Saccharomyces cerevisiae S288C: one gene and its partners. The protein of the gene in region 3 interacts with the protein of the main gene of each other region in a pairwise test. Each region holds a gene or a part of one and is shown on either strand. Other genes may lie near its edges.

Region 1 (5,018 bases), on a different chromosome or scaffold from region 3:
TTCATATAATTTGACAGTGGCTATATTGAACTGTTCTTGCAAATCGCCAGTTTTGGCATCCCCTACCCAACCTTTTTCATGCAATTCCTTTCCTTGAGTGACCCAAGCGACGAGGTTATCTCTAATATATCTTGAAGTTATAGGTACTCTTGATTTCTCCTTATAAACTCTGTTAAAAAACTCAGCTATCATTTGATGACATAATATAGGTCTCCTTTTACTTGCTCTCTTTGTTGTGTGGAGCAAGAGGGCCCAATATATGACTGTTAACTTTTCACAAAGACTTTTTTCTTTATTATTGGACCATCGAAACTTCCTTAGTTGCCTTGTTTCCGCTTCGTCATTACTGTTTCCCCCCAAGTCTGTGGGGGCTCCAACGTGCAATATGTCGTTGTCAATATCACTAGAAGTATGAGTTTCCACATTCAACTTGGTATTAGTAGTGTTAATTCTTTTATTAAAGCAAATAGTATGTGTAGATTGCAGGAGGTCGAAGCTCTTCGGATTGGCAAAATCAATATTCTGCTCTATAATTTTCACAGGTTTTGTTGGCAGTATTTGTGCAATTCCTGTCATTGAGTTTCTAAATACATTCTTTTGGTCATATTTTGAAGTGCTCTTTTTGCTTTTATGTACTTTTTTTGAAGAGGACGCATTCACATTTGTTACTTCCAATTTCTCTTCCTCCATTTTTGGCGTTTCAGAGGGCTTTCCGTAATAATCTTCAAAGGAATTTAAAGTAAAATTCTTAAAGTTGGACATCCAAAAGGATCTTCACAATATAAGCGTTTTTCTGTCCACCAGCTTCAACAAGCTTCAGCCTACTACCAATTTCTAATACTGTTTTATCTTATTACTTGCTTACTTATCCACTCCCATTGTTTTGTCCTAGATGACAGCATCACCCGGACTGAATATTAAAGCGTCAGTGTCACTTATTTTAAGTCATAATCAAGTCCTTTTAATGTGGCTATAGATTAACCCTGTACACTAAAGCTGTATATTATTTCCTTAAAGGAGCATTTATTCCCAAACTGTAACGCAGAATGTCATTCCAGAATCATGGAAAAAAGATTCAAATAAATAAATGTATATACACCAAAAATTACAACTTCGAATCCTATAGTACTTTTAATCTTTTTGAAAAAAATATTACTAAAAACTATGTATCATGTCCAAAGGCCATAGGGCCTAGCATTTTCTTTGTTAAAAAAGATAAACAGTAGAGAAATAAATAAAAAACGCCCTAACCCAACATATAGGACCTCTTTTTCGTTGGCCTAGTCAACTTTAATGGATGAGTAGATTTTTCTAACAAAGAGCATACTGCTGATAAAGCCAATTGACCCCGTTACCAAACAGCAGAGTAATGAAATGACTGAGGAGTATCCCACGTATAAGACAATAGTCGTGAATCCACCCAACTTAAATTTGGTGAATAAAATAGAATGAATAAACACATACAAAGCACAACCGGCGCCTCCAATTATGAATCCTCTCCATTGCCACTTCCAGTTCTCCAGGCATAAGGAATGATAAGTGATCAAAATAGTGACGAGTGAACTTGTCAAAGTTAATAGGAGGAAAGAGAAAAAGAGGAAACCAAACATGTAAAAAATCTTATTAAACCATAAACTTGTGTATATGAAATACAACTCAACGGCGATGGAGCCAAATGGAAAGATACCAGCAATCAAAGTAGCTGGTATAGTCTTTAAATACCAAGGCTGGAAGGGTATTTGTCTTGCGATTTGGTTTGTCTTGGTTGGATGTTCATCCCAGTGACATCTTTTCCTGGCAATCAATGAACCAGCAAATGATAATGGGATTGAGAACAAAAACCATAGAAAAACCATAAAAAACAGAGTACTTGCTGGTATGACACCAGAAGAATGAACAAACATTAAGAAAAAGTTCAACGCAATAATTATTAGCAGAATAGCACCAGGAACTAGAAGTGGAGTCAATATCAAGTTTGCCTTCCAGTATGGCCCATTGAAAAATTTGTAGATGCCCATAGATGTATAAGAGCCGACAAACCCGAATAATGCATATAAGATAAACATAACAGTGGCTAAGGAACCTCTAGAACTAGGTGATAGGAAACCCAATGCAGCGAAGAAGATACTGCAAGTTACCATCAAAAATAATTGAACTCCTGAACCAACCAAAATTGAAAGGGTTAGCGATTGACTTGGCGAACGAAAAACATCACCATGATTCAATTTCCAACCCGAATCTTCTTGAAAATCATCGTCCAAATTTAACTCGTTGTAACGTGCGAAATCACTTTTCAGTGCGCGCAATAGCGAATGGATAACAACAGATGACAATAAGACAACAACTAAGGAGAAATTTATCAAAGAAAACCATTGAATAGAAGGATCATATACGTGTAAATATTTGTCCCACCTGGTGGCCCAAGAAGTCGCTGATTCATTGAATTTAACGGAATAAGTAAAATAAACTTCATTATCATTTCCTTCGTCTAGCATCAATGGGCTGCCAGTCGTTTCACATGTACCTGGACTGGAACGTTTTATGGAAACCGGTTCGACGATAACACCAACTACACGATAGTTACCTTCACCACGATCGTGATATTCAATCATAATATCGAAATGGTTGGCAAAGTAAGGCAATTCGTAAGTTTTCACCATGTTACGATCATTACGTGTTTCCAATTCCACATCCTTATCGGTGGTTTCTGCCCCTTTTGGAGTAGCCTCAATGTCGGTTCCTTGAGTTACCTGTACAAAACCAAGGTTGAAGCCAGCACCATAAAAACTAGTCTTAGTTCTGCCATCATAAACCTCTCTTGCAGCCGGTAATCCATCAATAAGCCAGTTTTGGAAGAAGCCATTTTTTATCAATTTATTGATGAATTTAGCATCATCTCCCGGAATTACGGTCTTACACAGGGATTCACACTCTTTTTCTTGTAACATATTCAATTGGAATGGTGAATTATAAATTCGATCACCAAATATAACGGATCCCAAGGATTCAGGTTGCTTTTCGACTTTTTCAGGCTGACAAAAATGGAATCTATTGTAATAGTAGTCGTATGAGTACAAGAAATTTTCTTTATCGCCAGAAACGTTATTACCGTCCTCATCTTTGTGTTGATAATTCATTGATGGAGTTAAATGATTAACGAGCAATGGGATGTTGTCATTTTCCCTGTAAGTGGTAGGCGCTACACCTGGTAAATAGAAGGCTTTGACTGTTGACACAAAAAAATACAACAACAAAAGCTGTACGTGTGCCATTTTGTAAATCATTCTGTTTTGTTTTCCTTTCGGTACTTGCTCTCTGCTACTAAATTAATATCTGAAAATATAACGGTAGCAGATGAAGGAAAAGCTGGACAAGGAGCCAAAAATTAACTTAACTAACGTACCAAAAAAAGATACAAATAAAAACAACAAAGCAGTTCAAAAACCTTGAATTACCTTTTTGTTTATCATTAGGCCTATTTCTTCGAACCGATGACATTTTTCATGGCTTCACCAAGTAAAGAAAAATTGCCGTGAAAAAAATTTAAAGGGCTGTAACCCGGACTTTTGTATTATAAGTTAAAATCACTCATTCTCAGGCAGTATTGGTAACATTCCAAGTGACTTCCAATACGTGTTGAATTTACTACTAACATTCCAGTGCAAGTAGTAATTTTTATTAAGTTTTGATCAACTTAGGATTTTCCTATTTTATTTTTGTTTATTATATTAAGTGTTCATTATTTTAAGTAGTTATATATTATATAATACAACCCCGATTAGACAAACTTCATAAGTTTTTCGGGTGGGACGGTATCAAGCATTTCATTCTCATCAATTCGCGGTTTAATGGGCTTATAATCACCCTCTGGATCCTTAAACACGTAGGCAAGAATGACGCCTGCAATACCAAGGACAGAAACTGTCCCTAATGCTAGTGCAAGACCAATTAAAACGACAAAACCACGACCTATTTTCTTCTTCTTCGATTTTGATTTAGATTCACTGCTTGCCGATGAAGATGGAGGCTGGGATGATGTTGACTGAGGACTTGTCACAGTAATGTTCACATTGGCAAGTGGTGACTGAGAGTTGAATTCAGTTGAAACGTCTCTATTAATAAAAATTATTGGATTGTAATTGGAAGTATTTGTTGTTTCTGAAATAAAATATGGGGTCCATTTTTGGAAATCAAACAACAAACTTTGTAGGTATCCGTATTGCGAAATATTAAAATTACCATTAAGTAAGAGGATACTGCCATTATTAACATTGTTGATTCCTCTCTTGTTCAAAGTGTTGGATTCAATATCTGTGTATATAGCTGAAACAGAGCTAATAGAGCTAGCATTGCCAGGTAACGAGGTAATATTCCATTCTTGGTTTCTATAGATAAATAATGAAGTATCATTCCATGCCACTATGGAGTCTTCAGTGACAGTAAACGAATTCAGTTTCCCTTCAGAACCACTCAATAATGGAATCATAGTAGAATTGGTTAAGTTAAAGGATCCTAAACGTATAGATTGGTATTCTTTTGTTTCAAAAAGGCCTGAGATAATTAATTCTGATGAGTTGGTGAAGGAAAGTTGTGTGATTTCACCAAAAATCGTGTTATTGAGGAAGGTAGACCAAGTTTTGCTTTCATAATTGTATAGACATAATCCGGTGCAATTCGGCTCAGTCATTTGGAAATCTCCGCCGACAAGCATACTACAGTTTTTTTCAAAGTTAACTAAAGCATTTATTCTAGCATTTGATCCTAGTGTTTCATTAGCAATCATGGTCAAATTTCTCAAATCAAAAATCGACAGTTCTGCTGTGGTTGAAGATCCTGCACTGACAGCTAGTAAAGTTTGATTATCAGCGTATAGCATTTGAGTAATACCGCTAGACCAATTCCAGGAAGGATAAACTTCATTAGAAAAATAAATTTTGTTTAGAGAATCCACCTCATATGCATATGCCGTGGCAGACTCATTTAAATAAGCTCCCAGGTAAGGTACAATACCCCCTTCT
Region 2 (4,729 bases), on a different chromosome or scaffold from region 3:
GGTCAGGAAATATTGGTCGGCGATGCATCTGATACTTTTCAATTGATTTACTTCTTTCCTGATCTAATTAAGCCGATTTTGAGGCCGATTTTCAATTTCATTTATAATGTAGTTGTTGTAAAATTTAAAGTCATTAAACCTTTTCATGATATTGATATAGATATTGGGAACACCATCGCAGAAAGTAGAGGCGCCAAAAAAATTATGACTGTAGAAGAAAGACGAAGACAGTTAGCTTTACAAGTTTTGGAAGAGCGTATGGTAAACCCTTGATATATGGATCTATATAACTTGAAATATGCTCTATTATATCGTGATTTAATGACGGCTGTTGGCATTTCGGTCTTTACCAAGGTAGTAGGATTTGTATGCTGAATGTGCGCCAGTACTATCGAACCATAGAAACCCATATATTCCCCAATATTAATAATTCTACTGAGAAATGGGTGAATTTTGAAATAATTGTTGGGATTCCATCGTTGATAAAGGCTATAATATTAGGTATACAGAATGTACTAGAAGTTCTCCTCGATGATATAGGAATCCCCATAATGGAATCTATATTTCTATGTACCAATATTACGATTATTCCTCATTCCATTTCATATGTTTCATTATCCTATTACATTATCGATCCTTGCATTTCAGCTTCCTCTAACTTCGGTGACAGCTTCTATAATAACTTATGTCACTATCTAACACCGTATATGATAATATATTGATAGTATGACTACTAGTTGATAGACGATAGTTGGTTTTTATTCCAACATCTACATAGTGGCACTCACTACGCTGCTAAATTTGATCATTTGGTGAATAATTTGATAATTAGTAGTTCTTCTCCGGGATATAGGAATCAACAAAAGGAAAACGATAGTTTTACATAATAATATTAATTTATCTTGCTTGGTTCGCCTTTGAAGAGCGCAGCTTTCAGAGATTTAGCTTCTATGGCCAAGTTGGTAAGGCGCCACACTAGTAATGTGGAGATCATCGGTTCAAATCCGATTGGAAGCATTTTTTTTTAATATTTTAAAATTGTTTATATTTTTGTACCACAAACATCATTAGAAGCTGCAAATGAAGTGAATCAGAAAATTTAAAAATGAAACTAAATACTAAATATTATTGTTCTTTTTCTAACAGTTGAAGTGCCAAAAGCAGTAAATTGTTTAAATATTAGGGTATAAAACATGATATTATAAAGTTAATGATTTAGAATGGCTCCGTCCAGCAGAACCAGTTGATTACCATTAATGTTGAGAGTTTATGCGAGTTTTTCAGGCTCGATTATGAGATACGGTACTAGATAATTCAGGATTATCAGGATTATCAGGGTTTACCACTTGCAATGGTCCGCTCATCATCATGTCGGGTAAAGAATTGGCACTGAACCTTTCATTTGCACTATTCAAAGTATTTGCCTCTTCAAAAACTGTCGATGGAAGGTTCTGTTTCTGAACCGTAGCATCTTGTAAGCCAGCCAAGTTGTTTATGATGCTTCCACTGGTGTTTGAACTAGGACTACTATAATTTGCACCATTACTCATAGAAAAACCATACATATTACTTGTACCGATAGAACCCGCTGTATTACCCCTTGAATGTCTCATCCAATTTGTCGTACCAGAGGAGGGAGGCGGTCCTATTGGATTTGCATCCTCATCACCGAACGAATAGGGCTGATAATGTTTCGTTTCCTCCAAGTCTAATTGGTCGTGCGATTTCCGTCTCCTCCATATCAGGAACAATAGAATCAAAATAATAAAAATTACGCCAAACACAACACCAATAACAATACCGGCAATGGCTCCACCACTCAGACGCTGCTTCGAAGTCGAATTAGATCTATTATTTGAGGCGGCAGCAGTAGCAGTAGCTACCTCAGAAGATCGTTCAACCACGGATGTCCTCGTAACAAATATTGTTTCCTGATGTTGATCAGAAGTACTCACGATCGCTTTTGTAACCACACTAGTCACTAGTTCCACTGAGGTAACTATTGGTATCGTTGATGACGTACTAGGGGTCATTGAGGTCACTTTTGGAGTTGATAGTGTGCTGCTACTCGAGGACACTGGCACCAAGGTGGAAGAGGGTGAAGAAGTACGGCTATCGACTGTGGTATGCTCAGATGAGGACAATGTAATGGATGAGGAGCTAGACGTAACAGAAAAGATAGAGGTAGTAGAGGAGGTAGTAGAGGAGGTAGTAGAAGAGGTAGTAGAAGAGGTGGTAGAAGAGGTGGTAGAAGAGGTGGTAGAAGAGGTGGTAGAAGAGGTAGTAGAGGAAGTCGAGGAAGAGGTAGTAGAAGAGGTGGTAGAAGAGGTGGTAGAAGAGGTGGTAGAAGAGGTAGTAGAGGAAGTCGAGGAAGAGGTTGTTGAAGTGGTAGAAACTGTCGTGGCTATCATTTCAGAACTTTTCATATCTGTTGACGTTCTCCTAGTAGTTGAAGAAATTTGGGCGGAGGACAATGAAGAAGTTGTTGAGGGCATATAGGAAGTGCTAGACCCTTCTTTGGAAGAGGAAGATTCAACCGATGAAACAAAAGTTTCAGCATTTACATACACGTTCATGTACGATGACCCTCCACACATTTGGTAAGGCCAGCCAGAGCATTTAGTTCCACAGTTTGAATCTGTTGATTTCGTCAAAGAAGTCAGAAAACTTACCGAATTACCGCAGTAACAATCTGACCCGTTAAATAATGCTACTACTGCTGACTCAGGGCACTGGTTTTGACAGTATGACACTGATTGATATATGTATGAGTTTTTCAGAGACAGTCCAGCAGACTGGATATCCGCGGCACTGTAACAGCCTTCATAATTAAAATCAGCATTAACCAGCCCAATCAGAGATTGACATAGCAAACTTAGAAGTATAAATGAGATATACCCGATTTTAATAGTTCCTTTATTTGTTAATTTTGCAAACCATACTCTTTCCATTTTATATTGTCTTCTGCTAAAAAAACAAACTATACGGACATGAATTTCATATAATGCACAAAGAAAATAGCTCACCAAATATTTCTCGAGGATTATCACTAATTTCGAGGAACAATAGAAAATTAGTATGGCGAGGGATCAAAAAATTTTTTATAGCAAATGTTTGGAAAGAAAAAAATGTATAACGAATGCAATTGTTTTATTGAAGTGTAAGAAAAATCAATATCTAACCTAGATACTATTTCAGGCAATGAAGTAAAACAATGGTCCTGGTCTGCAGTATACCACTTACGTTAAAAAGCTTTTTAAGATTAGTGCGGAGGCATAATTACTTTTTTTATAATAAAGAAAAAAATTCTCGAGTGGCTAAAATAAGAAGTTTGCCCGGATCTCAAAGGAGAGCGGGATGACGTAAAAATTCCTGATTTTGGAAAAATGCATTCCTACTAACGAATCGGCTGGTAAAATTAGGTTAAAAATCTCCTAGTGAAAGGGCAAACAGAAAAAAATCTTCACATTAAGCAAGATTTAAAGTAAACAGCAAAGAAAAGTTTTTTTTGGTTCAGATGTAATATGGATAGCCCGTTTTAACAATTCAGAATCTCATCTGTAAAGCATTGTAATATCGCTGAAAAAGTGAAAAACATTAGTTTCTTGACTGCTTCATCATTTGAATGGTCTTCCAATACCAAGAGATGTGCTGGCCTGACAAAGGATTTCACCCTCTCACTTGTAATTTCATCTGCCATCTGCACAATACCATTTGTAAAAATTAAAATACCGTTTTGACAATCTAGCCATAAACCAAAATTCAGTTTATATTTTCTGGGTTTTCTGAAAACGTCCAAGAGACTCAAAGCATTTTTATTAAGTAAAATTGTTGTGAATTCATCAATCGAACAACTGTATGAAGGTTGGAATGTAAAGTACCTTTGTGTTAATTTTATTACGAGTTCCCTGAGAACATTCGGAATGTTCTGATGGACCGTGGCATTTGGCTGAGTTAATTCAGACCATTGTTGCCATTTCACCAACAGGTCATGTAAAATAAGCTCATTAAACGACTCAATGAGTTTTGACCAGTTAGCGTAAACTTTGGTGAAATCTTTTTCTGGGCCAAATTTTGTTAAAACGGTTTCAAAGCGATTAACATATTCCTGAATTAGCTTGTAGGTTTTGGAGTTGGATTTGTCAAAGGAACAAATTCTAGGTATAATACACATCTTTAGTAATTGACTTCTATGGCGGGATACTCCAGAATTGACGACATTAACCAAGGTGGTATCACTATCGTTCCGATCTTCCCCTTCCTTTTGCCTGCTGAGTTGGAAATAGTGTGAAAAATCCTTCTGAACCAAAGAACTCAATTGACAATCTTTAAATATTTGCAGTGGGTAGTAACGTTTTGTAGAATCCTGCAAATTCGTAACGAGATCGACTTGATTCAAACAATATAACACAAACACGTAGTTCTTATGACCTCTAAACATCGGCGGGCAAACATTCGACGCAACTCCTTCTAGTGGCAAGAAATTAAGTTCCTCTTGCAGAGTATGCAACTTTGAGTCATGGAATTCAGTACAATTTCCAGAGGATGATGCTACAGGCTGCAGCAAAATACTTGCTAACCTATTATCCTTACTCATTATAGTTTTTCTACCTGTATTTTTATCCTAAGTTGTATATGGTATAGTTCATGACAATATTTTTGATATATCTGTCAAAATAGCCGCCCAACTTCTACGCCCGGTACGTCACTGAGTACGAAACGGATATAT
Region 3 (6,027 bases):
TTCTTGTAGCGTTCAATAATTTCGTAAGATGGCAAAATAGCTTCACATTCATTGATCAAATTTCTCAATAAATCCGAATATTCGCCACCTTGAGGGCAATGATCCTCCAGATATTGGTAACCGACAGAATTGTAAAGCATTGATAATAGCATACCGATTTTCAAGTTTCTATTTGAATTTGTATTTTGTAGTATTCTATCAGTGAATTCGTTTACACGATTTTTTTCATCTTCGGTTTGACACTGTCTGATTAGCATTTCCTTCAATTTCAAAAGGTTATTTGCTACGCTAGGCTGGGCTCTTGTAATATTCGCGTTTGCCGTCAATGCCGGTATCATCGTGTTCTTTGAAGTGTCAAGGAACACTGAAGTGACCAGGATTTTTAGAAAACAGTCCTGAATTATAATATAATTTTCAGATAACGGCTTAACTTCTCTTTTCATGACTTTACTCATGATCATGGTTGGATGACTTCTATACAAGTTGATTTCAATATCATTTCTGGTACCATTGTTTATATCCCCGTTACCACTTTGTTCATATATAGGTTCCATTTTATGCTGCTTCTTGGTATCAGGACTGTCCCCGCTAGCATTGTTTGTATTGATCGGACTTGCTGATCTCTTGCCTGATTCATTCACCTCTCTCTCTGTTAGTAGCTTCATAGCTTTATCTTTCCAATAAAACATATCTTTTTCCAACCTTGATATAATGGCGTCTTTACTCGGAATTCGTGGTGCTGGCTGTTTTGATACGTCATAAACACATTTTAACCCATGCTTGACGCATCGACCACATTCAGGTTTTTCTCTATCACACTTTGTTTTTGACTTCCTACAAGCCTGGCAGACAAACAATATTCTATTTCTTTTCCTATTATGTGTTTCGGAGTTCTCGGGGGCAGGCGATGTGCTTGAGTGCTCAGCTTCTAATCCAGGCGTTGGGTTATTGAACCCTAAGAAAAACGCCTCCGAATATGGCTTGGTAGAGCTATTATCATCATTTCCGGCATGTGGGGCCTTCTGCGTACTATTTTCGACCATGACTTACGCAACCTAATCTATTATTAACCTGCTTCTAACACAAAATAGCCAACAGTAAATCCCTTCTGGAGGATCTGTTTCCTTCTCTACACGTCAAAAAAGATGTCAGAAAAAAGCGGCAATTGCGTACATTTAAGGAAGCAGAGCCAAAGCGAATTTCACATTTAAGGTTTTTATCGCTGAAATATGTGTGGTGTTGGGATGTAATGGAGATAATACACCTTTTTGAGCGGTTTTCTATGAAATATAATGTAGGATATCCTTGCCCTTAAATATTTATATAATAAGTTGTTACATGTGAGTATATATTGGATTACAAATATGGGTTGTTGTTGCGGGCGTTTTCGTTGCTGCCGTTGTTGTTAAAATGCGAATATGATTTATTGGAATTCCCCAGGTAGAGACTTGATTCAGGCTTCATTAAACTGGAGGTGCTTGTATTATTCGGCGCTAGATTAGTACGAGAAGCAGATGACGCACGTTGGTACTGTGGAGACAAGAAGCTGCCACCCGTACCCATGACAGCGGAGGTTGGTTGCACAGGTTGCTCCGTTACTTCCGAGGCATCGAAGGGAGAGGAATTTTGCTTAAAAGAGGATGAACTAGTCTCATCATCAAAGAGTCTTGCTGTATTTGTGTTTGCATTCAGGTTCTTGCCGAAAGTGTCGTCACGGAACATTTTTTCTTCCTCATTTTCATTGGTGTCCATAACAGCTTTTCTCAATTCAAACAGTTCAGAATCATTTTTGTTTTTGCCATCGAAATCATTTTGAATCTTAGGAATGAATGACACACGGTCATCTTTCATTGGTTGGTAACGGACATCTGGGTTTCTGTGTAGTAATGCCAGTGTACAGGTGACAATAGTGAACAATAATAGGAATAGAGCAAACACCGCGTTCAAAACGAACAGAATAACCGCCATCACTGACGAAACCACTGCTGGTTGCTTGAACAAATTACTGAAAAACAAAAAGAAAAATGCATTGATCAAATTCACCAAATGAATAGCAATATTGAAAACATTAGTTCTCTTGTCCAAATATGGTCTTATCCAACAGAGACAAACGAAGTAAGCTAGTTCAATGACAAAGATGATCATTGCTTGAGCCTTACCTTGGTTTTGTAAAACGGCAACAAACAGGGATCTTAAGAACGCATAACTTAATAAGGGTAAAAGCCACCAAAACTTATCTGCTTTGAATTGAACGTATAAGAACCCAAACTTGTTCAAGAAGTAGGTATCACTGTAAAGTAGGTACGCAGGATTCTTGTATAATCTGAGAGACTCTCTTCCCTTGATGAAAACCCTTATAGTTCCATAAACCAGAAGTCCCGTGATGATCAGTAATATTACTACCGCATCAACAACAATCGCTGGAGAGTTGACCTGAGTAAATTCCCAAATCGCCAGAAGAGAAACTTGAGGGAAGGCGATGATAGATAATCTGAAAAGGGTGCCTTTGATAATACTCCCCCAGTTCTTCCTATATTGGAAGAAATTGGAAGTCTCTTTCAATATTCTTGCTCTTGTAAGAACTTCCAATAGCGCCTTAAAGAAAATCAAAGAGACGACAACTACAAATAGGAAGAATAGAAAAAACACAATACCGGTCAAAAAGAAATTAGATAGCTCAATATTAGCCAAATAAGCAACTCTTTCTATACCTCTTAACACGAGAATCTTGGCTGAGTAATTGCTTGGATCCTTCTCAGAAGTGGTGTACAGATTCGAATCGTCTAAAATGGTGTCAAAATTGTAATCACTAGACGATGCCATAGAGATAGCACGTTTTTGCACACTAATGGACAAGACGTCCTTGTTAGCTACCACAACATTTGAGACACCATTAGTGGCCTGTACGTACCAATCAAAAATCTTTTGCATGAAGTTTGTATTGATGATACCCATGGACCATTGGAAATTCTGCGTCCACGCGGCAGCAATGGGTGGAACCCTTGAGACACCCATCATTGCAGTGATAGCTAGATTTTGGAAGTATATGAACAATGAGATGGAGTTGGACGCAATGTGAGCAGCAGTGGCTGAGTAACCGATCACAGACACAAACCCTGAGGTAAGTACACCGACACCTGAGATAGCGGCAATGGGCCAGGCCGCATACTTTGTTTGCACTGTCTTCCCGTTACTCAAGATAGCCTGGACACAAGCCAGCGGAGTTTCGAATTCCGTGTCATTCTGAGCGTATGCCACCACACGTACTTGTGCGTCCAAATCTGGAATGGTGTAAGCAATGCCGGGAAATTGCTTGGTAATGGATGATTCGATCACCTGTGTGGACATGACATCAATACGCCCAGCACTTAGGGGGCAAAGCGATACTTGGCCCAAGGAACATAAATCAAAAGTCTTATCCAGGACTTTCAGTCCGTAAGTAAGCAGCTCAGCCTTCACAGTGACGTTCCCATTAAGCGTCGTCGTAGCGTCAATATCAAAGATAACAGTATTATTATCGGGGTAAAATTTCACATCAAAGAATGATGCCGTTAATTGCGAATTGTCCATACACGTCAATAAAGAAGTGGTCTGCAAATGCTTTGCAGACGCCGGAGTAGTGTCGTTTGTGTCAGAGGAACGTGCTGTACCGCTGCACAGTACGAAACACGTTAAAAGGCACCTTGCGAAGGTGTTTAGGAAGATCATGGCTATATAATCTTTTTATCACGTCAATATAATCGTAATGAAACAGAAATGAATGTATTATAATACACTGAAACACGGTATAGCGCAGCAAATTGTTTTAGTTTAAGGGGTATAAATGTTTTCCAAGGGTGGTGTTCTATATATATATGCCATTCATATACTTTTAATAATGTTCTATACGTATTCCCGTGAAGGCATTAATGATTATCTTTTTCTTTAAAAATGCAAGATGGCTGAGTAGTCGCGCGAAAAAAAAAAAAAAAAGAAACAGCAAGGTTAATTTTAGAATACCAACAGGAAAAAAGAAAAGATTATCCTCCCAGAAAAACAATCTGTTTATTACCCGACATTCTTAAAAAAACAAAAGCAAATCACATGTGCACATACGTCCAGAATGATATCAAGATAAATGGCACGTGTATGTACGGCTGTGTAAATATGATAATCATCTCGGACGAACGGCGTAGCACTCTCCATCCCCTAAAAATGTTCACGTGTGACTGCTCCATTTCGCCGGATGTCGAGATGACCCCCCCCCCTCAAAAGGCACTCACCTGTTGACATGCCGTGGCAAATGATTGGGGTCATCCTTTTTTTCTGTTATCTCTAAGATCCAAAGAAAAGTAAAAAAAAAAGGTTGGGGTACGAATTGCCGCCGAGCCTCCGATGCCATTATTCAATGGGTATTGCAGTTGGGGTACAGTTCCTCGGTGGCAAATAGTTCTCCCTTCATTTTGTATATAAACTGGGCGGCTATTCTAAGCATATTTCTCCCTTAGGTTATCTGGTAGTACGTTATATCTTGTTCTTATATTTTCTATCTATAAGCAAAACCAAACATATCAAAACTACTAGAAAGACATTGCCCACTGTGCTATGTCGCCCTCTGCCGTACAATCATCAAAACTAGAAGAACAGTCAAGTGAAATTGACAAGTTGAAAGCAAAAATGTCCCAGTCTGCCGCCACTGCGCAGCAGAAGAAGGAACATGAGTATGAACATTTGACTTCGGTCAAGATCGTGCCACAACGGCCCATCTCAGATAGACTGCAGCCCGCAATTGCTACCCACTATTCTCCACACTTGGACGGGTTGCAGGACTATCAGCGCTTGCACAAGGAGTCTATTGAAGACCCTGCTAAGTTCTTCGGTTCTAAAGCTACCCAATTTTTAAACTGGTCTAAGCCATTCGATAAGGTGTTCATCCCAGACCCTAAAACGGGCAGGCCCTCCTTCCAGAACAATGCATGGTTCCTCAACGGCCAATTAAACGCCTGTTACAACTGTGTTGACAGACATGCCTTGAAGACTCCTAACAAGAAAGCCATTATTTTCGAAGGTGACGAGCCTGGCCAAGGCTATTCCATTACCTACAAGGAACTACTTGAAGAAGTTTGTCAAGTGGCACAAGTGCTGACTTACTCTATGGGCGTTCGCAAGGGCGATACTGTTGCCGTGTACATGCCTATGGTCCCAGAAGCAATCATAACCTTGTTGGCCATTTCCCGTATCGGTGCCATTCACTCCGTAGTCTTTGCCGGGTTTTCTTCCAACTCCTTGAGAGATCGTATCAACGATGGGGACTCTAAAGTTGTCATCACTACAGATGAATCCAACAGAGGTGGTAAAGTCATTGAGACTAAAAGAATTGTTGATGACGCGCTAAGAGAGACCCCAGGCGTGAGACACGTCTTGGTTTATAGAAAGACCAACAATCCATCTGTTGCTTTCCATGCCCCCAGAGATTTGGATTGGGCAACAGAAAAGAAGAAATACAAGACCTACTATCCATGCACACCCGTTGATTCTGAGGATCCATTATTCTTGTTGTATACGTCTGGTTCTACTGGTGCCCCCAAGGGTGTTCAACATTCTACCGCAGGTTACTTGCTGGGAGCTTTGTTGACCATGCGCTACACTTTTGACACTCACCAAGAAGACGTTTTCTTCACAGCTGGAGACATTGGCTGGATTACAGGCCACACTTATGTGGTTTATGGTCCCTTACTATATGGTTGTGCCACTTTGGTCTTTGAAGGGACTCCTGCGTACCCAAATTACTCCCGTTATTGGGATATTATTGATGAACACAAAGTCACCCAATTTTATGTTGCGCCAACTGCTTTGCGTTTGTTGAAAAGAGCTGGTGATTCCTACATCGAAAATCATTCCTTAAAATCTTTGCGTTGCTTGGGTTCGGTCGGTGAGCCAATTGCTGCTGAAGTTTGGGAGTGGTACTCTGAAAAAATAGGTAAAAATGAAATCCCCATTGTAGACACCTACTGGCAAACAGAATCTGGTTCGCATCTGGTCACCCCG

What was found. Proteins that work in one complex are often made in the same cells at the same time.
Region 1: the proteins of FLC2 (region 3) and EMP70 interact in a protein complementation assay, tested with the Saccharomyces cerevisiae proteins (one large-scale study listed by BioGRID).
Region 2: the proteins of FLC2 (region 3) and WSC3 interact in a protein complementation assay, tested with the Saccharomyces cerevisiae proteins (one large-scale study listed by BioGRID).

The regions. Positions count from the first base shown.
Region 1 is NC_001144.5:292,811-297,828, forward strand, and holds EMP70 (Emp70p), read right to left. Parts: upstream 3,285-5,018; coding exon 1,281-3,284; downstream 1-1,280. Other genes in the region: SRL2 (Srl2p), read right to left, coding at 1-762; RAX2 (Rax2p), read right to left, coding at 3,779-5,018. UniProt on the Saccharomyces cerevisiae protein: With TMN2 and TMN3, plays a critical role in the late stages of a nutrient-controlled pathway notably regulating FLO11 gene expression. Acts downstream of RAS2 and TOR. Essential for cell adhesion and filamentous growth.
Region 2 is NC_001147.6:112,858-117,586, forward strand, and holds WSC3 (Wsc3p), read right to left. Parts: upstream 2,952-4,729; coding exon 1,281-2,951; downstream 1-1,280. Other genes in the region: YOL107W (uncharacterized protein), read left to right, coding at 1-273; NDJ1 (Ndj1p), read right to left, coding at 3,539-4,597.
Region 3 is NC_001133.9:43,580-49,606, reverse strand, and holds FLC2 (flavin adenine dinucleotide transporter FLC2), read right to left. Parts: upstream 3,709-6,027; coding exon 1,357-3,708; downstream 1-1,356. Other genes in the region: oleate-activated transcription factor OAF1, read right to left, coding at 1-1,043; ACS1 (acetate--CoA ligase 1), read left to right, coding at 4,585-6,027. UniProt on the Saccharomyces cerevisiae protein: May be responsible for the transport of FAD into the endoplasmic reticulum lumen, where it is required for oxidative protein folding.